Drosophila melanogaster: one gene and its partners. The protein of the gene in region 3 interacts with the protein of the main gene of each other region in a pairwise test. Each region holds a gene or a part of one and is shown on either strand. Other genes may lie near its edges.

What was found. Proteins that work in one complex are often made in the same cells at the same time.
Region 1: the proteins of cad (region 3) and GATAe interact in a two-hybrid assay, tested with the Drosophila melanogaster proteins (one large-scale study listed by BioGRID).
Region 2: the proteins of cad (region 3) and CG14764 interact in a two-hybrid assay, tested with the Drosophila melanogaster proteins (one large-scale study listed by BioGRID).

What each region holds. Positions count from the first base shown.
Region 1 is NT_033777.3:16,010,283-16,018,284, reverse strand, and holds the start of GATAe (GATAe), read right to left. Parts: upstream 6,012-8,002; 5' UTR 5,547-6,011; coding exon 5,502-5,546; intron 2,058-5,501; coding exon 1,720-2,057; intron 1,577-1,719; coding exon 643-1,576; intron 575-642; coding exon 79-574; intron 21-78; coding exon 1-20.
Region 2 is NT_033778.4:7,952,872-7,957,697, forward strand, and holds the start of CG14764 (uncharacterized protein), read right to left. Parts: upstream 3,012-4,826; 5' UTR 2,442-3,011; intron 1,607-2,441; exon of another isoform or gene 1,507-1,606; intron 1,441-1,506; 5' UTR 1,175-1,440; coding exon 1,031-1,174; intron 1-1,030. Other genes in the region: CG2906 (uncharacterized protein), read left to right, coding at 3,338-3,418, 3,765-3,965, 4,027-4,826.
Region 3 is NT_033779.5:20,769,104-20,773,758, reverse strand, and holds the start of cad (caudal), read right to left. Parts: upstream 3,029-4,655; 5' UTR 2,652-3,028; coding exon 1,850-2,651; intron 1-1,849. UniProt on the Drosophila melanogaster protein: Caudal (cad) is one of a number of transcription factors controlling segmentation of the embryo.

The DNA.
Region 1 (8,002 bases), on a different chromosome or scaffold from region 3:
GTTGACTCCCTGCGACATGCCTGGTTGGGAATTGGGATTAGTTTATTGCATACTGTAATCCCTGGCAGGTGTACTCACTCGGCAGCGGTGCTCGGTGCATGGGTGCTCCTCCGTTGTTCTTAGGCTTCCGTTTGCGCTTCTGGATGCCCTCCTTCTTCATCGACAGCGGTCGGTTCATGTTGTGCAGCTTGTAGTACAGTCCGCAGGCATTGCACACCGGATTGCCCTCGTTGTTGCGACGCCACAGGGTCGTCGAGTTGGTCTGACAGTTGGCGCAGGTGACCCCGTTGCGCCGGTTGTTGGGGGCGGCGGCGGCCTTGGGCTTCGCCTGCCTCTGGGTTATACGGGGCGCCATCCGCATAAAGGCCGGGCAATTGGGACAGAAGTACTCGCTACCCTTCCGCAAGAACGGCCCATGGCAGTTCTCGCACTTTAGCTCGTGGTTGGGCGACGATGTGGACGAGGCGGTCACCAGACTTCCATCGTACTGCCCTATGCTGCTGGCGGGCGGCCAGTGGGAGGTGCTCATATTGCCGCTCCCGTATTCATCAATAACCTGCGGATGGAAGTTGCTCTGTGCAGCATGCGGGAGAACAGTTAGTATGTACCGCCTCAAGAACCAGTAACTTAAATTATACTTACAAATTGAACACTCTGGTACTCCGGCGGGGCGGGAGATGCCCATAAAGGCTCGATGCCGTTGCCGCCCTCAAAAGATATCGTCTGAAAAGTAGCCGGTCCAGTCTGGCGCAGCAGTCCAGTCTGATTTAGGCCAGACTCGGACTTGGCCAAGAATTGACCGGTGCCCGGAACACTGTAAATAGTGTTTCCCTGCTGAAGCGTTGCCGCATAGCTATTGCTACTGAAGCTGGAGCTGGGCGGGAAGGGGGCATATGCGTTGCCTAGGTCGGCGTAGGTCTTGGACTCGTTGGCATGCACACTGCCATCCACCACGGGTACATCGTAGTACATATTCGAGGCGGATGTCTCCGGTCCGGCGGTGGTGAAGCGTACATCCTCCGTAACGAAGCGCACGGTTCCACCATGCGAACTGGTGGCAATGTGAACCGTCTGGGCCGCCGCCGATGCTGCAGCTGCCGCCTGGTGTTGGTGGTGTTGCTGCTGATGCTGCTGCTGCTGGTGCTGCTGCTGCTGTTGGTGGTGATGCTGCAGTGCCTCCGCCTCGCTGCTGATCACTATGGTCTCGCCGTAGCTAGCTCCGTTGGGTGTGGGACATTGCTGTTGCTGCTGATGCTGGTGTTGCTGCAGTTGCTGCTGCTGTTGTTGCGACTCCCCCGTCGCCTCTCCCTTCTCGAGTGTTTCGATTTTGATCGCGGCCACATCGTCACCGTTGCAGATAATAGGATAGGCGAAGATGGTGCCCGGCGGAGCTCCGGCAGCAGCTCCCACCTGTTCCGTCACCTCTGCGTTGCGTGGCGCCATCTGCACGTAGTGAGTGGCTCCGGGAGATTGGTGTGCACTGCGCTGGTACTCGATGTGGCTATCCGAAGCAGATCCTGAGCTCGCGTTGCTGGCGTTTGTGCTCGGTTCTCCTTCACGAGCTTCGTTTAATTCACTGAAATGTTGTTAATAACACTGTTAAATAACAATGGTAAATTGTAACTATCGATTGCCATTTGCATTAGATGATTGTGTTTAAAAATGAAATTTGTGAATGCTTATGTTCTTAGGAAAAGAAGGTCTCCAGAGGTTACTTACAGTGTGCCGGCTGTGGTGAGAATACGGCGCTGGTTGCGTGGCACCACCACGTACTGCTCCTCCGGTTCGCTGACGCCCGCTTGGCCCGTCTGCACCACCACGCCCACCGATGTTGCGGCTTGCTGTTGGTGTTGTTGCTGCTGCTCCTGCTGCTCATCCAGATTGTTGGCCGTCTGCTGGGCCAACTGATCGGCGCCGTTGCTGGACTCGAGTTTGATTTTGTCCAGCAGTTGAAGCTGCTGCTTGGTTAGAGCCTGATGCTGTTGCTGTTGCAATTGTTGCTGTTGCTGTTGCTGTTGCTGTTGCTGCTGCTGCTGCTGCGTTGTCTGCTGTTCCATCTGCAATGAGCAAGCGACAAGTGTTGAATGCCATGTTTCGCCCGGCTCGTCTCAAAAGTGTGGCTCCAGTTCCGGCCGTTGCAGTGCGAACTGCCCGCCTCGGTTTCCGCCACAAAAGTCAACAAGACGCAAGCCCAACCAAGACCGCTGAGACGGACTTCAAAGACACCGCCCGCGCTCGACTCACAGCTCAATTTGTCGCCTACAACCGTAAAGTACCAGAAACTGAGCCGAACGGAGACGGGCTTGGAGGCGACCCCTCTCCTTTCTACCACTCAGTTGCTCAGTGTCAACATTGTCGAACACATTTTTCACTTTTATTCCATTTCATTTCCACCAGCAGAAGTATTTGCTCACAGAACCCTAAACTCAGAGCGGTGCCTTGGTTTCGTTTTCATTTTTCTTGTGTATTCGTGGTTTTTTTTTTTTTTTTTTTTGGTTTAGTTTGGCTTTTGGCGGAAATTAAACTTGGCCATAAAATCGCTTTGCTTTCCCCGCCATACGTCAGTCGCTTTTGGGTTTATGACCTCATTCCGTTGGGGGTGGCACTTCCACTTCCACTCCAAAGCCCCATACCCATCCCCATCCCCATTCCCATCCTCGAGCTTGTGTCAACACATTCGATCGTCACTGTCACCTGATTCACGATGCGGCCAGGTTGAAATTTACCGCCAGTCCGCTCATGACAAGTGCCATATAGCTCAGAGGCTTTCAGGTGGTTTCCACCTTTACCATGGCTATAAATATACCAAAAAATGTGTGTGCTTATGTGTAACCATCACCACCGTCAATTGAGGAAATCCACAGCAACACTAAAGGAAAATTTTTGTGGCCATTGAAATATATTGCAAAGATAATTGCTTTTAACTGAGATATAACCATATACTTGTACAGGTGTTTTTTTTTTCCGAAAATAATCACCACGCTGAATTGATTTAATACATTCCATAAAAATCCCCACTCTCCCTTTATATGAAAAAACTAATACTTTATCTTCCATTTAATGAAAATTGATTCACTTTCGCAGAACTTTAGGTTGACGTGCCACAAATGATTGATACATTTTTTGCGTGGACACAAGCCAAGTTCAATGATGATTCAGTTGGTGACAAGCCGTAAAAATGAAAAATCTAACGCTTACCAAGGTACAAAGTTTAATTACTTATGTGGAAGGCATATAAATGGGGGACGAAAGAGTTCCATGGAAACTGATTGCATTCCGCCGGCGGTGATGACCGTGCCAAGTTTTCAACGTCTTGGCCAAAGTTCAAAGAATTCCCTGGATGGAAAGGGTGCGAGATAATGTGGTGCAAACGTCACTTCAGACAATCGTCTGCCCGAAATGCAGATAAACCCGACTTTGAGTGTGTGTATATAGTAGTAGTACGATAGGTAGGCCCCCATGCACGTGCCATGTACCGCGAAAAAGTTAAGATACTACGGCCGAACGATACGGACAATATCTTATCCGGGCGCTATCAATGTACATAATCAGCTGCTGCTGCTGCTGCTGGGACTGAGAGGTCATGGTTGGTATCCCCCAACTGCCCGCACCCACTCTCAGTTGCGGCTACGTCATCAATAGGGACAGATATATCCAAGAATTACAAAAGTTGTGCAAGCGATGTTTGTCACCCGAGAATGGCAATGGCATGCGCTATTTGCTCGGCTTAGTCAAGAATCGTTGCGAGGGTGTGGAGTCCGCTGAACTTATGAATGAAATCTGCCCAGTCACACCCACAACCATACACACACACACACACACGTACATTTCGTACTTTATCTATATAAACAAAAGATATTGACTATATAATCGCACCTCGTTTCGCTTTCGTTGAGCTTGGGTTCGTGGTTGAGCAAATTTCAAAGGCAGCTCTGACCAAACATTTTAAGGCATTTAGAACTGAATAGAACTATAAAACTTGAATATAATGCAGTTGTGATGAATGCTATTTTTGTTAAAATTCTAAATTTCTCGAGGAAATTCTTTGCCAGTTTTACTTTTTATTTTAGACTTATAAAAAAATATGAACAATTTCTTGGGTAAGACTGCTTAAAGGCTAAAGATGTGAGAGCACTTTCAAAATATCTATATAATTAACAAAAGAATGGGAAGTAAATAAATGTACCCATTTTTGGATATACATTTATACCCTTTATATCTGCCCTCGTTAGAAGATCCTTCGATTAATTAAACTTCACTGCAGTTGGCTAATGAAAGTGAGATAAGACTCTCGACTGCCAGCTGCATTTACAGCTCTATTAAAGGGCCATCAATCGCAACCTTCGCCCTCTCTCCTATCAGCCATCATCCACTGTCAACTGGCGACGCGTGTCTAATAAAAGTATCTGCAACTGGAACTGCAACTATCGATGCCGCCATTGAGCAACTGTTAAGGGACTGTTCTTCCATTGGTCGAAAGGACACTTCCGGCAGGATAAAAAGTACCCCCAGATGAGCCAAGGGTTGGCATTCATTCACAAAACCAACCCCAAGCCCATGAAGGATACGCTAGAGACAGGGATAAGGAGCAGGACCAAAGCGAGGTGATAAGATTGACATAAATTTCACATTATCCGTGGCCAGCAAAAAATGGGTAAAAACAGTCCCTTTTCATGAATGAAGAGGAGCGAGCAGTTGAAAGTCGGCTGCGTGTTTCAAATTTTATTTTTGTCAAAGGTATTTTGACGCCACCTTCGATCGCAGCTGAATTTGGACCTCATAAAGATTAGCCATCTTTCCACATTTAACTTGCTTTCTTGTTGCCCCGTTTTCGTACCCATTCTCGTTTTCTTAATGGTTTCGGTTCGTTTCGGTTCGGTTTTTCTTCCAAGAGCAGACACCAAAATAAGTGTCGCAGTTTGCCGCTGCATCCCAGATGACTCATTCATTATAAATCAATTTGTCTTATCTTATTTCCCTGGCGCTAGAACTGAAAAAAATCCATATCGCTGCCGTTTGCGGGCTAAAATCATTTTCTGGCTCGGTACACCGAAGGATGTAAAATCTATATGGCTATTCGAGCTGTAAATACCTTTGAAAGCTCTTTATACTCCGTTAATTAATAAATTAATATTTATTCGTGCCTTGCGACTGATCTATAAACTTGAACTATCTGCTTTTAATGACCCTATATGGCCTGTCTATTTAGCTTAATGAACTTGTGTGAGAAAACGTTAAAAACTTTTATGATCTTTCAACAAAGTAGAAATGATAGATAGGCTTATAGAGATCTCGTAAATGAGCATCAAAAAGGTATTTAAATGTTTTTAATAGAGTTCACGTATAGTTGCTTTAAGCGGTCAGGTTGATATTCTCCATTCCGATATGGATTTTAAACGGAATTGGTTTTGAAAAGAAAATACCGACTTGGCAAACTTAATATATAATACCCAAAAATTACGCTGACTATTTTTGAATAATTATAAGTTTATTTTACCCACCTTCAGCTGCATGTTTACACTCGGTGAGATAGTTTTGCAGACCATCAAATTGAAGTTACGCCGCTTCTTTGCGTTTCTTCCAGCGTTTTATCTAAGATTGGTTTTTATCACTTGATTTCAGTTCTGTTGTGTTTTCAAAAATTTATCACAAGCACGGCTTGTCCAGGTGTTTGGTTCACTTCTCCTATCAATCTGGGCGCCCGAAAAAGTGCCGCGCAAAGTGAGCAAGTGGGGAAAATTGGCGAAAATTGACGAAAATTGGTAACTTGGGAAAGTAGGAACTTTGGAGCTTTGGGGGCGATCTAATGCTGTCACCCGTGGGGCGATTGTGGTTGTGGCCCGCGCGCAACCTTTGCCAGTTAGCAGTGATACGAAGTGCTATTTTTTCGAGACCAACTGGGCTCTGGTGGTGGCACTGGTCTCCGGTCTATGGGCTCGATACACTAAACACTGAGCACTCTGAGCACCAAGCACCTCACTTGCGATGACAACAACGACGGCGACGCAATGCGGTGCCTGCGGCGCGTTTGCCGCCCAATTAGCTACCCACACCGATGAAGATCCAGCGCCTCTGCGGTTGGGCGGCCTCACACCTGTGTGGGTGCGTGGTCCTGTCGGTGTGGCAGCGTTATGATTTATTCTGTACCGCCTCGCCTGGTATTGGTTATCTTATCGACACACATGCGATAAGATACGCAACGAGTGTTGGTGCCACGGTTGCGATAAGTATCCGTGAGATACAAATTGCGCCTGCGCGCTCGGCCGATTTTCCAACACACCTATGTTACACCAATGTTCCGAGGTTTCCGAAGAGTGGCGTCAAGAGGCCCACCAGCCGGCACAGTTCAGCCAGCACCACATTTGATTCCATTTCCACCCTTCAGCGCTCCTCACCCTCGCCCCCTGCTATTTGTCAATTGTGCAATTTAGTCTAGCGCATTTTCTAATTGCACTCATAAAACACTTTTCTGGCAAACTAATAAACTCGAGCAACGTTAGTCAACGTCAACAGAATATCATCGGATCGGGCTTGGGCCTGGAAAGTGGGACTGGGCATGGGCATGGGCACGGAAACTTTATATGACCCCACGAACAGTCGCCCGAATGTGGGCCGCTTTGACAGCTCGACTGCTCGGTTGTTGCGCTCCACTTCCACTTCTCCAGTTCTTCTAGTTCTCCACACTTCACAATCCACTCTCGAGTGTTGTAACTAATAAACACCGCCGGAGGAGGCGGAGGTGGAGGGCAGGAGCACACGTGGTCGAGGATCAGGTGCGGCGCATATATTGCAAAACCCCTGAATTGTCACCAGCCAGGAAAAGATTGAGTTTGAAGTGGTTGGGTGATTGGAGTGCTTGGTCAGAAATCTGATATATTTTTCAACCTGTCAATTACAGATACTTTGTAAGCAGAGATGTATGTGTAGATAAATATTGTAAACATATCTTTACTATATATAGGGATGTAGTAGCTAAATAGTACATTTTATAATAAAATGTATATGAAAACCATGACTTAAATTCTAAAAAATTCAATCTAGGCTTATATGCTTAATGCTAAGCCCCTATGGCAATCCGTACCAACTCCTTGCTTTCTTTTCTTCGAAGAGCTGCAATCTGTAAGTTAGCCACATATCTTGGCCACCCAGCCAAGTTGGCCCAGCGAATCATAAATTGTTTATAGTTAAAGTCATAAAGCAAGCAGATATATGACGGCCATTAACATGCACAATCCCCTCGGAGTTGCTTATAATGCCACAATTACGGGCAACTTTCCGCTGCTCCCATGAATGGAAATCGAGTTGAGGCGATAATTTTAATTGTTGCAACGCATGCGGTGCATAAATCATGGGCAAATCTTAAGAGCAAAACCGGCAGACAAAAAGTATCTAATAGTAGCTACTGCTGCGTGTCGCGAAATATCTGTGCGGTGATTAATCACTCAAAAAGTTGACGGCTATGCCAGTTTCGATCGTTACAAATGGCGCTACACGAAATCAACATTACAGGAGATTAATGCTGAGGAGGAGGACTCCAAACTGGATACCCGGCCACAGGACTGACTCATCGAGGTGGCTCTCTTGCCACGGCAGAGCCGGGCAATTAATACCCTAATTGATGGCACCGCCGCGCCTAGCTTTAGGTGCTTTGCCGGCGAATTTACGACCCTAAGACGGAAGACTTAGGGGCGGCGAAACAGACAGAGTCTTAAGATTGCTGACCATGGCATATCGTGTACACCCGGAATCGTACACCCTTCAACTTGTCCACCTCCATGGAGTTTCAAGTGCTATGTCCGTGAAAGACCATAGAAGCGAACCAAAACCTTAAGAAACCATAGCCTAAAAGTTATCTAGCCTCAAGTGTTCTCGGCCAGTTGACAGTATCGCCGATCTTTGTCTGGAATGACGCTATGGAATTTAATTTTTATATATTCTTTATTGCGCTCTTGTTTTGGTTATAATTGTATTATTTTTCTAGCTTTCCTTTTTGGTCTTTTTC
Region 2 (4,826 bases), on a different chromosome or scaffold from region 3:
GCCAGTTGTAAACTTTGAAGCAGAGACTCGGCGTTTGGGCACTATTAAAATTGCCTTTATGAGTACGTGATGGGAAAAGAACACCTTCTTTGCGTAGCTAAACATGAAATGCATAGCGATGATTTATAACCATCTTGCTATGCAATCTATTAAGTTTTCCCTAGACGCAAGAAATCCTTCAGCGACGTGGTCTCGGAGCCGTGGTTAACCGCAGGTTACCCAATAGCTCATCGGGCTGTGCAACCGGACTCCGGCCGGAATCTAATTAGTGTAAACAGTAAACGCTCTGGCAGGCGAAACGTAAACACAGCCAGCAGTGGCCTCGAGTTTTTGTTTGCCAGAGCACGGCCAAAAGTGTTCCGAAATGAACCCGACCCTGGTCAACACCCGTCCCCTTTGCCTCTCTGCCTTCCAGACGCTTATGTGAGTGATGCTGATGACTTTCATTTGGCTGCCGGCTGTTTGATTTGGCCAAATGTGCCAGACAGCCTGGCGTATCTAGCTTTCGAACCGACCCGCCCACCCCGAAGGACGCGCATTAATTTGACCAAGAGCACAGAGTGAGCGGAAAATAAGCTACTCGAGTGGTTGTTGCCGGGGGGCGGAACGCAGTTCAAGGCCAAGTGTGATGTCAATAGCCAGACGCTGCCAAAAGCAATTGCCAGAAAAGTCCTGTCCTAGCTGTCTGTGTACATAGGCACTTGACTATCTGCTGATAGTGGAATCTACATATGAATCATGGCTGGCGTGCTTGTAAAACAATTAGATTCGCATTCATTTTTTTTCGAGCTACACCCCGGCGATAAGTTCAAGCGCTTCGAATCAAAGAAACAACAAATGACAAACGGTGCACTGGGGTTTCAGTTTTCCCGATTTATCTGTGACAGTTTCAACGCACCAGCGCCAGATACGAACAGATAATTGTTATTTAATACCCTTATCTAAGTCATTCAGCATAACTTGGGGCGCGGAGTGTTTTGTATCAGAGGCCCGCCCGGCACTCAAGACCCCCAAACGTGAGTCAACTCACCTGGAACTCTTTAAACTGCTGGTGCGTCTGGACAACGATGTTCTTGAATGAATCGTTCGGCTCTCCGGCTGGACCAAATGCGATGAAGACGATCGTGGCGATTATCACTCCGATCAGTATCAGGATCAGGTGTTTCGTGCGCATGGCCGCTAAAATTGACTTCGTCTTCGCCTTGTAGCCAATTTTGCGGGCAAAGATGCGCTTCAGCGTGAGTGAGGCCTCCAGTCTGAAGGCTTTTGGCTTTCCCTTTTAGCCGAGTGGCAATTTGGTCTATTACACAGCGTTTGGCACTAGACCATCATCGTTCGCTTCTATGACTTGCCACGCAATTAGGTTATTGAGCATTTATTTGTTTATCCCGTCATCATCATTATGGCTGCAGTTTCCCGTTGTTAACATTATTGGTTCTCCTGTTAATGAAAATTAAAACAGGCACCTTAGAATTGTTAATTTTTCGTGCGTTTGATATTGGTTACTTTAAGTAAAGTCCGTTTTCTTCATCATGCTCTCAAATTTAATTCTTTTTTGTGAGGACGTATTATCCTTCTGTATATGAGGAATTCTAATCAAAAACGTATATTATTCAAAATATTCTATACTGTCGAAGTATACTTGAAGTATACAAAGATTTATTCTGCTCGTTCCGAATAAACACTTATTTGTGAGGATTTATTATTTTTCAATATGAGGAATTTTAAACAAATATAATGTAGAAAAATTTTTTGGTTTTGTTTTTCTGAATGCTTCCTATAAACTCTTATTCTCTTATTCTCTCTGAACTCTTAAACGTCCCAAAACTTACAAAAATACTGAGTTACAGTGGATTTGGTTTGCATTGGTTGTTAATTGCAAATGGTTGGTAATTGAATACACTCCACAAAGTATGAACTTAATGCTAATTGGGTATCAAACCTGTACGAAAGTTTTACAGGTTCAATTTGATACTATGTAATTTTATCATTTATGCAAAAGTTGGGAATGACGATTCTGAACTACACTTATGTATTCGTTTTACAATATATTCTCTTTTTCGTGTAAATAAATATTGCACTTTTACTTTATATCTTGTTACAATTTCTTTTAGTGTACTTGTTCTGAAATGTAATGCACACTTGATTTCTTTATATTCTTGAAATGCGAAGAAGATGGAAAACAACGATTTTGATCTTAACGAAAACAATCAGTTTTCGGAAACCTTAGCATCCCTGATCTGGGGTACGAATAACTGCACCTGCTGACACCCCATCGGCTTGATGGGGTTAATTTCTTGGCGCAGGGCCAGAAAGCGAGATGACGAGGGCAAGGTGAGTGCAACAAAGCGATGTACGTACATATGTATGGAAGCACACGTGTACGTTCATGCAAATATTACAACGATGCGACAATGATGTGCAATGTGCGTCGGACTTACAGTTTTTAATGGGGCGCTCATCAAAGGGCAGCGGTTATTTACAGTTGCTTTTGTTGTACGCCGCGTGCAGTTGTTGTTGCTGCAGACTGGGGTGGTGACATGGAGAAATTACCGGCGCAGCCTCCATTAAACTTTTCTGATAAGCTCACTCAACGCACGCACTCATACTGATGCACATAACGACTTGTTGTTGGCCATACACTTTTACATAATTTACAGTTTCTGCGGCTTGCGGGTTCTACTTTCGGTTTTCCCTTCGTAAGGGTAAATAAGACATGATAATCATGAAGAGCGACGCGGACAACAAACAAAACACTTGAATTCGCAGTTCAAAAAAGACTTCTCGAGCGCTCGTCGTCGATAATAGGGAACTTCGTTTTCCGTATTCACCAGCTCTCTTAAGCGGACACGGTACATATGCCAGGGGCAACTAAATTTCACAGGACGAAATAATGCGGAAAAGCTAGCGAACTGCACCAGAATCGGTAACGCCGTGCGCGCTTTTAGCTCGCTGAAAGTTTTTTATGCAAATTCGTTGGTGATAGAGGTGGGAAAGCGGGCTGCAAGAACATCGATGACGGGTGAACCGCTGATTTTAATGCCAATCGAATAGTCGGGAGACTGTGAACTTATTCCGTGTTTTCAAGTTCCGCAAAATTCCAAAAAGAATTTAAAACTTGATATTTTTATATATTTATATTTTTGAATATACTGAGTTAAAATAATATCGAGGAAAAATTTATTGTTGTCAACATACCATTTTTAACTTTTGTAGTCGACTATCGAAATTGCGGACTCCGCCCATGGTTGAAAACTCGACTATGAAAAACGATGTACATACGCGTATAGGATAGTAATGTTTTGATGTACGAATATTTATTATTTCTTTGTTAAACATGTTGATTGTAAGAGAAAAACTCGAAAGAGGTTTGGAATTGTTAAAGAAATATGAATGGCTGTTGGATGCCTATGTACTGGTAAGTTAGCTTTGTTAAAATGTTAGCTTTGTTGTCTACAATATTCGTGCGGCTTAATGAAGTTATAGTGTTTCCATCCAAATTAATATTGAATATTGAGATTGCACGTTGAGTAATGCTGGAGAAGTTTTGTTGTGGGTAAACCTATTGATACACCTCCTGGTACACCTCCTGAATCTTTTTTCCATGGGCACCATATATAACCAGAATTGGGCTTCCTACTGCGACGTGTGTTCCTTGGATACCTCATGTTGATCATGTATTTTCGCCTCCTTTGCTTTGCGCCTTTTTTTTATTGCGATTTTTATTTGTAAGACTTTCATGAGTATAAAATTCTTATTTATAGGACTTCTTCATAGACGATCATTGGAGTAAACTTCCAGGGAATTGGCAAAAGCACTTAGAAAGCATTCCTCTGGAGAACCTTGGAGATTTGCTCAAAAATGAGAATCATAATACCCAGCTGACATGGCCATTGGATCTGAAGAACCTGCAAGAGGAGCTTAGGAAACTCTGCGTCAGCCGTGTACCAAAGCACCCGCCTGATGTTGGTAAAATCCCGTCAGTATTTGTATCAAAATCAGTTTAAAATATCTTTCTTCACTTAGAACTCCCTTCCTTGCTCACTTCTTGATCACCCCAAGCTAAAATACGTGTTCCTAAAGCGGGTTAAGCCAAAGAAGCACCATGAAATCATTCGAATGGCCGAAATCTGTGCCCTGAGTCAACAAAAAACTCCTGTGGACTTTATTGTCGACTTTGGGGCTGGTGTCGGTCACCTAGCACGTGTTTTGGGCTACGGGTATGGACTACGAGTGTGCTGCTATGAGATGCAACCCGATCTCAATCAGCAAGCAAGGGAAATTGATTTAAAGCTGGAGTCCATGGCAGCAAAACACCTATCAGAGGATGAAACCACACACTTTCAGCGACCAGTACACCTTACACATCGCTTGGAGAGCAGCACTAAGCCAGAGCAGTTCCTATCCAGCATTCGGCAGGCCCTGCAGCTAACAGACGACAATTTCCGATTTGGTGTGATAGGCCTGCATCCCTGTGGCAATCTGGGCCCGACACTGATGCGCATGTTTCTCGGCTGCCCGCAGGCCAAGTTCCTCAATTTTGTGGGCTGTTGCTACCAGAAGATGACTACCCAGTCCACCCATCCCAGGGAGCATGTCCATGGGTACCCGTTGAGCAGTGAACTCAAAGATAAAAACGAATGCCAACTCAGCTACGAGGCCCGTGAGATCTCCTGTCACGCTATGGAGGTGTATCACGATCGTCTGAGGATGGGGGATTACCAACATCTCCGCATACACTCCCTAAGAGCCGCCGCCGAGCGAATAATAGTGCATCAGTTTCCAGAGCTTCGCCACTGTGCCCTGCGAAATGTAAAGTACTCACC
Region 3 (4,655 bases):
TAGAACTCGCAGCCCCATGGGTTGGGTGGGGTTTTCAGGACTTATTGACAGGGCGGGCGTTTATTTGATTCCCCACGCTAGCTAATCTAATCGAAAAACCCGCCCGAACCACCAGCCATTGAAACAAAAGTACACGGCATCTGCATCCAGCGACAATCGTGGTTGCCGTTTTATTGCCACACCCCGAAAGCTGAAGTGGGCCTTCGACGTGCCCTGCCGCCACATGCCGCCACATGCCGCGCAGACAACGGAAAATGGACCTTTTATAATTCTATCAAAAATCACGAAGTGTTAGTCACAGCCCCCCTCTTCTCTTCTGTTGGAAAAGGCAGATTACTAATTATTACTCGATTTGGCGAGACCATCAATTCAAAGAAAATGCCAGAGAGATAATACCTGAGCAAAGTGTTGGCAAAAGGTGCTGCTGATCGCTCATAGTGGCTGTAAATAATATCTAACTTTATTTTTATATAATATTTATTCTTACTTAAATATTTGTGCTTTTTAGGCAAATGAAATACGGCAAGAATTACAATCAGTCGCGCGTCAGAAAGGTGACATTCAGACAGCGGAGGCTAAAGGGGGTTTTGAATAATAATAAATAAGGCAAACTTGAGTCGCCTTGTCGGCTTGATCAGCTGGATTAGCGGCCATAAACGCTAATTGCATGCCAACAGATTTTATGGGCTTAATGGATATCGGCGTTATTGTCGATATCGTCGATATCGTCGTCTTCATTTTCCCCTTCTTGACATGCGCCCGGGTCATAAATCGTGAACAAATGTGTGAGTGGTTTATTCCTTCTCATGTTTGAGATCGCTGCACTGCCATCTGAATTGCCTTTGCTTGTTTTTCCAGAGGTGTAGGAAAACACAGCAAACAAAACGCAAGAAATCCACATAATCACAGAAAATTTGCATGAACTGAGAGAAGAGAGTCGAATTGGGTATTATTCACTTATTATTCAGAATATTCACTATTTTTAGAAAATAGTGAAACCTTCAATTAGACACTCCACATAATGCTAATTGCTGTGAAATAGGTTCCGAACTCCCTAACTTTCCTAAGCCTTTACAGTCCAGTCCTCTACTCTGATGGACTTTCCATCAAATGCTGTCTGGTTATTGGTAAGTTGATCAAACCATTTTCAAATGCTTATAGTTGTTAAGTTGATTTACGATACAAAATTAGTCAATGGAATCGGAATCGAGACGGAGACAGAGTGGAGCAAACAAACAGAAACACTCATGTGGACGGTGAACACGGGGTGGCCATAAATCAAGGCGTCGGATCGGGGATCTCGCGACCCCAACTGAATATCATAAAAGTGAAGCTTGAACAGAATTTGATTTTTATGAGCTAATTGGCCATTTGGACTTGGATGCGCGCCAGGCAAACGGATTCTTATAAAAGCCCATATATGTACCGTGAGAGATGGACAGGGAAAAGCGCGAACAGCACGAGCTTGGCGGGAAGACAATGCAGTGCATTATGTGCTGGGCAATATGGAATCTTCGGGTTCGGAATGTAGCCAGGCGGATGCGGGAGAAACCCAAGCGCAGGGTACGCGGAATCGAAGGTCAGTGGAATGACTAAGTAGCTGAATACACAAAAATTCGGGTAATCGAGGTCTTTCGGACTAAAAGCCTTCGGTGAGTAAGATCTTATTTCACATTCGATTAAAAAAAAAAAACTCATACAAGCTAGTGACAATGGCAAGCATAGACCTTAACTTTGCAGTAAAAGCAGGTTATTAGCCTTACTCATAAAGTTATGAAGTAACCGATCATACCCCCTCATAAAACACTAAATCTGTATTTAATATATTCTTGGGTCTCTAAGGACTCACCTGGTTGTGGTTGTGCTGGATAGGCGGGCTTCTTCATCCAGTCGAAGTATGGCGGCTTCGATGGCGATGTCCTGTTGTTGTTGCTCACCGAATTGTTATTGTTGTTGTTGTTATGGGTGGATGGGCTATTGTTGTTGTTGTTGTTGTTGTTGTTGTTGTTGGCGACGGCACTCAAATGGTGTGCCAAGTGATGATGCGGCGACGAGGCAGAAGTCGGCGCCCCCGGGCTAGAGATTTCCGAGCCCGAAACGGTAATCGGTGGCGACGGCAGACCTTCGGCGATGTGCTGCTGATGGTTGGGTGGTGCGGAACCTGGTCCTCCATCGGTGGCCCCGCCAACACCACCGCCACCGCCTGCTCCTCCGACGCCGATGCTGCTGTTGGTCTCGTTGAGCTGGGGCGCACCCGGTGCACCACCGCTACTGCTGCTCCCGGAACTGGCGGAACTGCTGGAGGCATGGGCGTGATGATGGTGGTGCTGCTGCATCAGCTGGTGGGCCGACGTGGGCACATTCTGAACGAAGTTATCCGCCGTGCTCGAGGCGGGTGAGTGCCACTCCCCGGCAGAGGCCGCCGCCGCCGAGTGGAACATGTGATGGGAGTTGTAGTACATCTGGTGGGCAGCGGCCGCGTGGTGGGCGGCATGCGAGGAGTCCACATCGCCCAGGAACTGGTGGTTCGGCGGCGTGTGGTGGTAGTTGGGCGTCCAGTTCCATGGCTGGCCCGCCGCTGAGGCATAGGCCAAATTGGCGGCACTGTGCTTTTGTGTGTAGGGCAGTGTGTTGTAGTAGTGCGAAACCATTTTGAGGTTAGATTAGGTGCGCTTTCTCCGAAGATAGTCCCAGTGCTCGGTCCGGTGTCCAATAATCCGGCGTTAATCTCTAAGTCTTATCACTTTGATGGCCAATATGTTTTAGTTGCACATTTTCTGGAGTTTCAGTTTGGGTTATAATGGATATATTTTGCTTTGTCAATCTTTACAGTTATCACTGGCTGGTGATGTGTTTTTTGGGAGCACAGTAACATACGACCGAGATATCGATAATATTTCGAAACGCTATTTTTCAGCACTCACTCACGAGATGGATTTTTGTTTTGCAGGGCTAATCTACTAATTTGAAATGTTATTCCGTGCGTGGCGACGTCAACTCAGTATGCAGGTCGAACACGTACTGAAACGTAGAGCAAGACTCGACTGATAAAAAACTCAAAGCAGTGGAAAATCAGATAAACAGGCAGAGAGGCTCAAAAAAAACAACCACCGCAGTCGGCACTCACTAGTTGTCTCTTTCTAGCGCACGAGCAGTGCCTTTACTTGGGCGTTTTTAACCCTCATTTCCGTTGCTCGGTCGAAATTCAAGATGGCCTGAGTGCTTGACTACCGCTATCTCCGTCTGTCTGGTGCTCCGTCTCTTTCGCACCGGTCTGCGATGGCTGGCAGGCAGGTGGCCACGCCCCATTGAGCCAGGTATGCAGTTTGTCGTAATATCTTGGCCAAGAAAACCCCTTTTCCTTTATGGCCCGCTTTCGATTTGTATGTACTTTAATTGCAATTGCCGTTGGCTAATTAAGTAATTGCGGAGATGCGTGTGTATTATGCAATTAGTGGCTGTAAAATTATGTTGCCACGGTCGTAATAGTCGCGATATATGTACCTCTATCTGGGGAATAATCAATGTTTTATCCTCCGGATTTTATTCTCCATATCCATATACCGTGTTTGATCTGCACACACTTGATGTCCAGACTTTTGGTGTTTGCCAAGCAATCGCTGTTTATATGGGCGCCTCGATATTGTCAAAGCACTATTGTTCGGTTCTAGTTGTAAAGCTAATGCCATAATTGACATGTAAGCAGCGATAAAAATTCGCAGGGAACTCAAATATAGCGGAAGAAGTCTGGCATTGATAAGGTGCAAGATGTGATACAAGGGGCTTATGTAAAAAAAAAAGATGGTACTAAAAATGAGGTGATCTTTTGACGGATCTATCATTTAATGTAAATCGAAAGTTTCCAGCTTCATTACCAAAAATATGACTAATCAATTTAAATTCCCATGAGAACTTATTTTCGATCAAACTTCGCTGGAAGTTTAACAAATGGGTGGAATTGAAATATCGATTATTATTTCATAACGACTTTAGCAAAAGTGTTACCCATTTCGTGAAGCAAAAGGCAAAATTGGCCCAATACGGTAAAGAATTAATAATATCAATAAACCCATTTACAAAACCTCCTCACTAACATAAAAACTAATAATTGAACGCAATTTGAATAATAATAAATAAATTGATTTATTTATAATTTATGACAGACACGCGTGTGATCATAAGATTGCAAACGCGCCTAATTATTATAATATATTGGCAATATAACAAATTCCAAATATTCATATTGTGGCATTAATTATAAAACTATACATGTAATATACCCTAAGATTAGAATGTGAAATCATTGTCCAATTATTTTCAAACTATCTGACTATAATTTTTCCTTACACAAAGGAATATAATATATTCATTGGAATAAGGTATAGTTGGTTAAACATATTCCTGCCTCACAAATTCCAGGTCAGCTAACACCATTCTTATTAATTTTTCGCAAGAATTTCGATACCACACAGCTACTCCCAATTGTAATCCCTAAAAAGAACGCTAAGCTCGCGCCGATTGAGTAATCCCGAGATTCCAGAAATCCTCTCTAAATCTGTAAAAAATAAATTCATTGATTGCCGCGATGTTCGATGCTCGGTATGGGATCGTAAAACTGCAAACTGCAAATGTCGCGTCAAATAATTAGAAGTGAA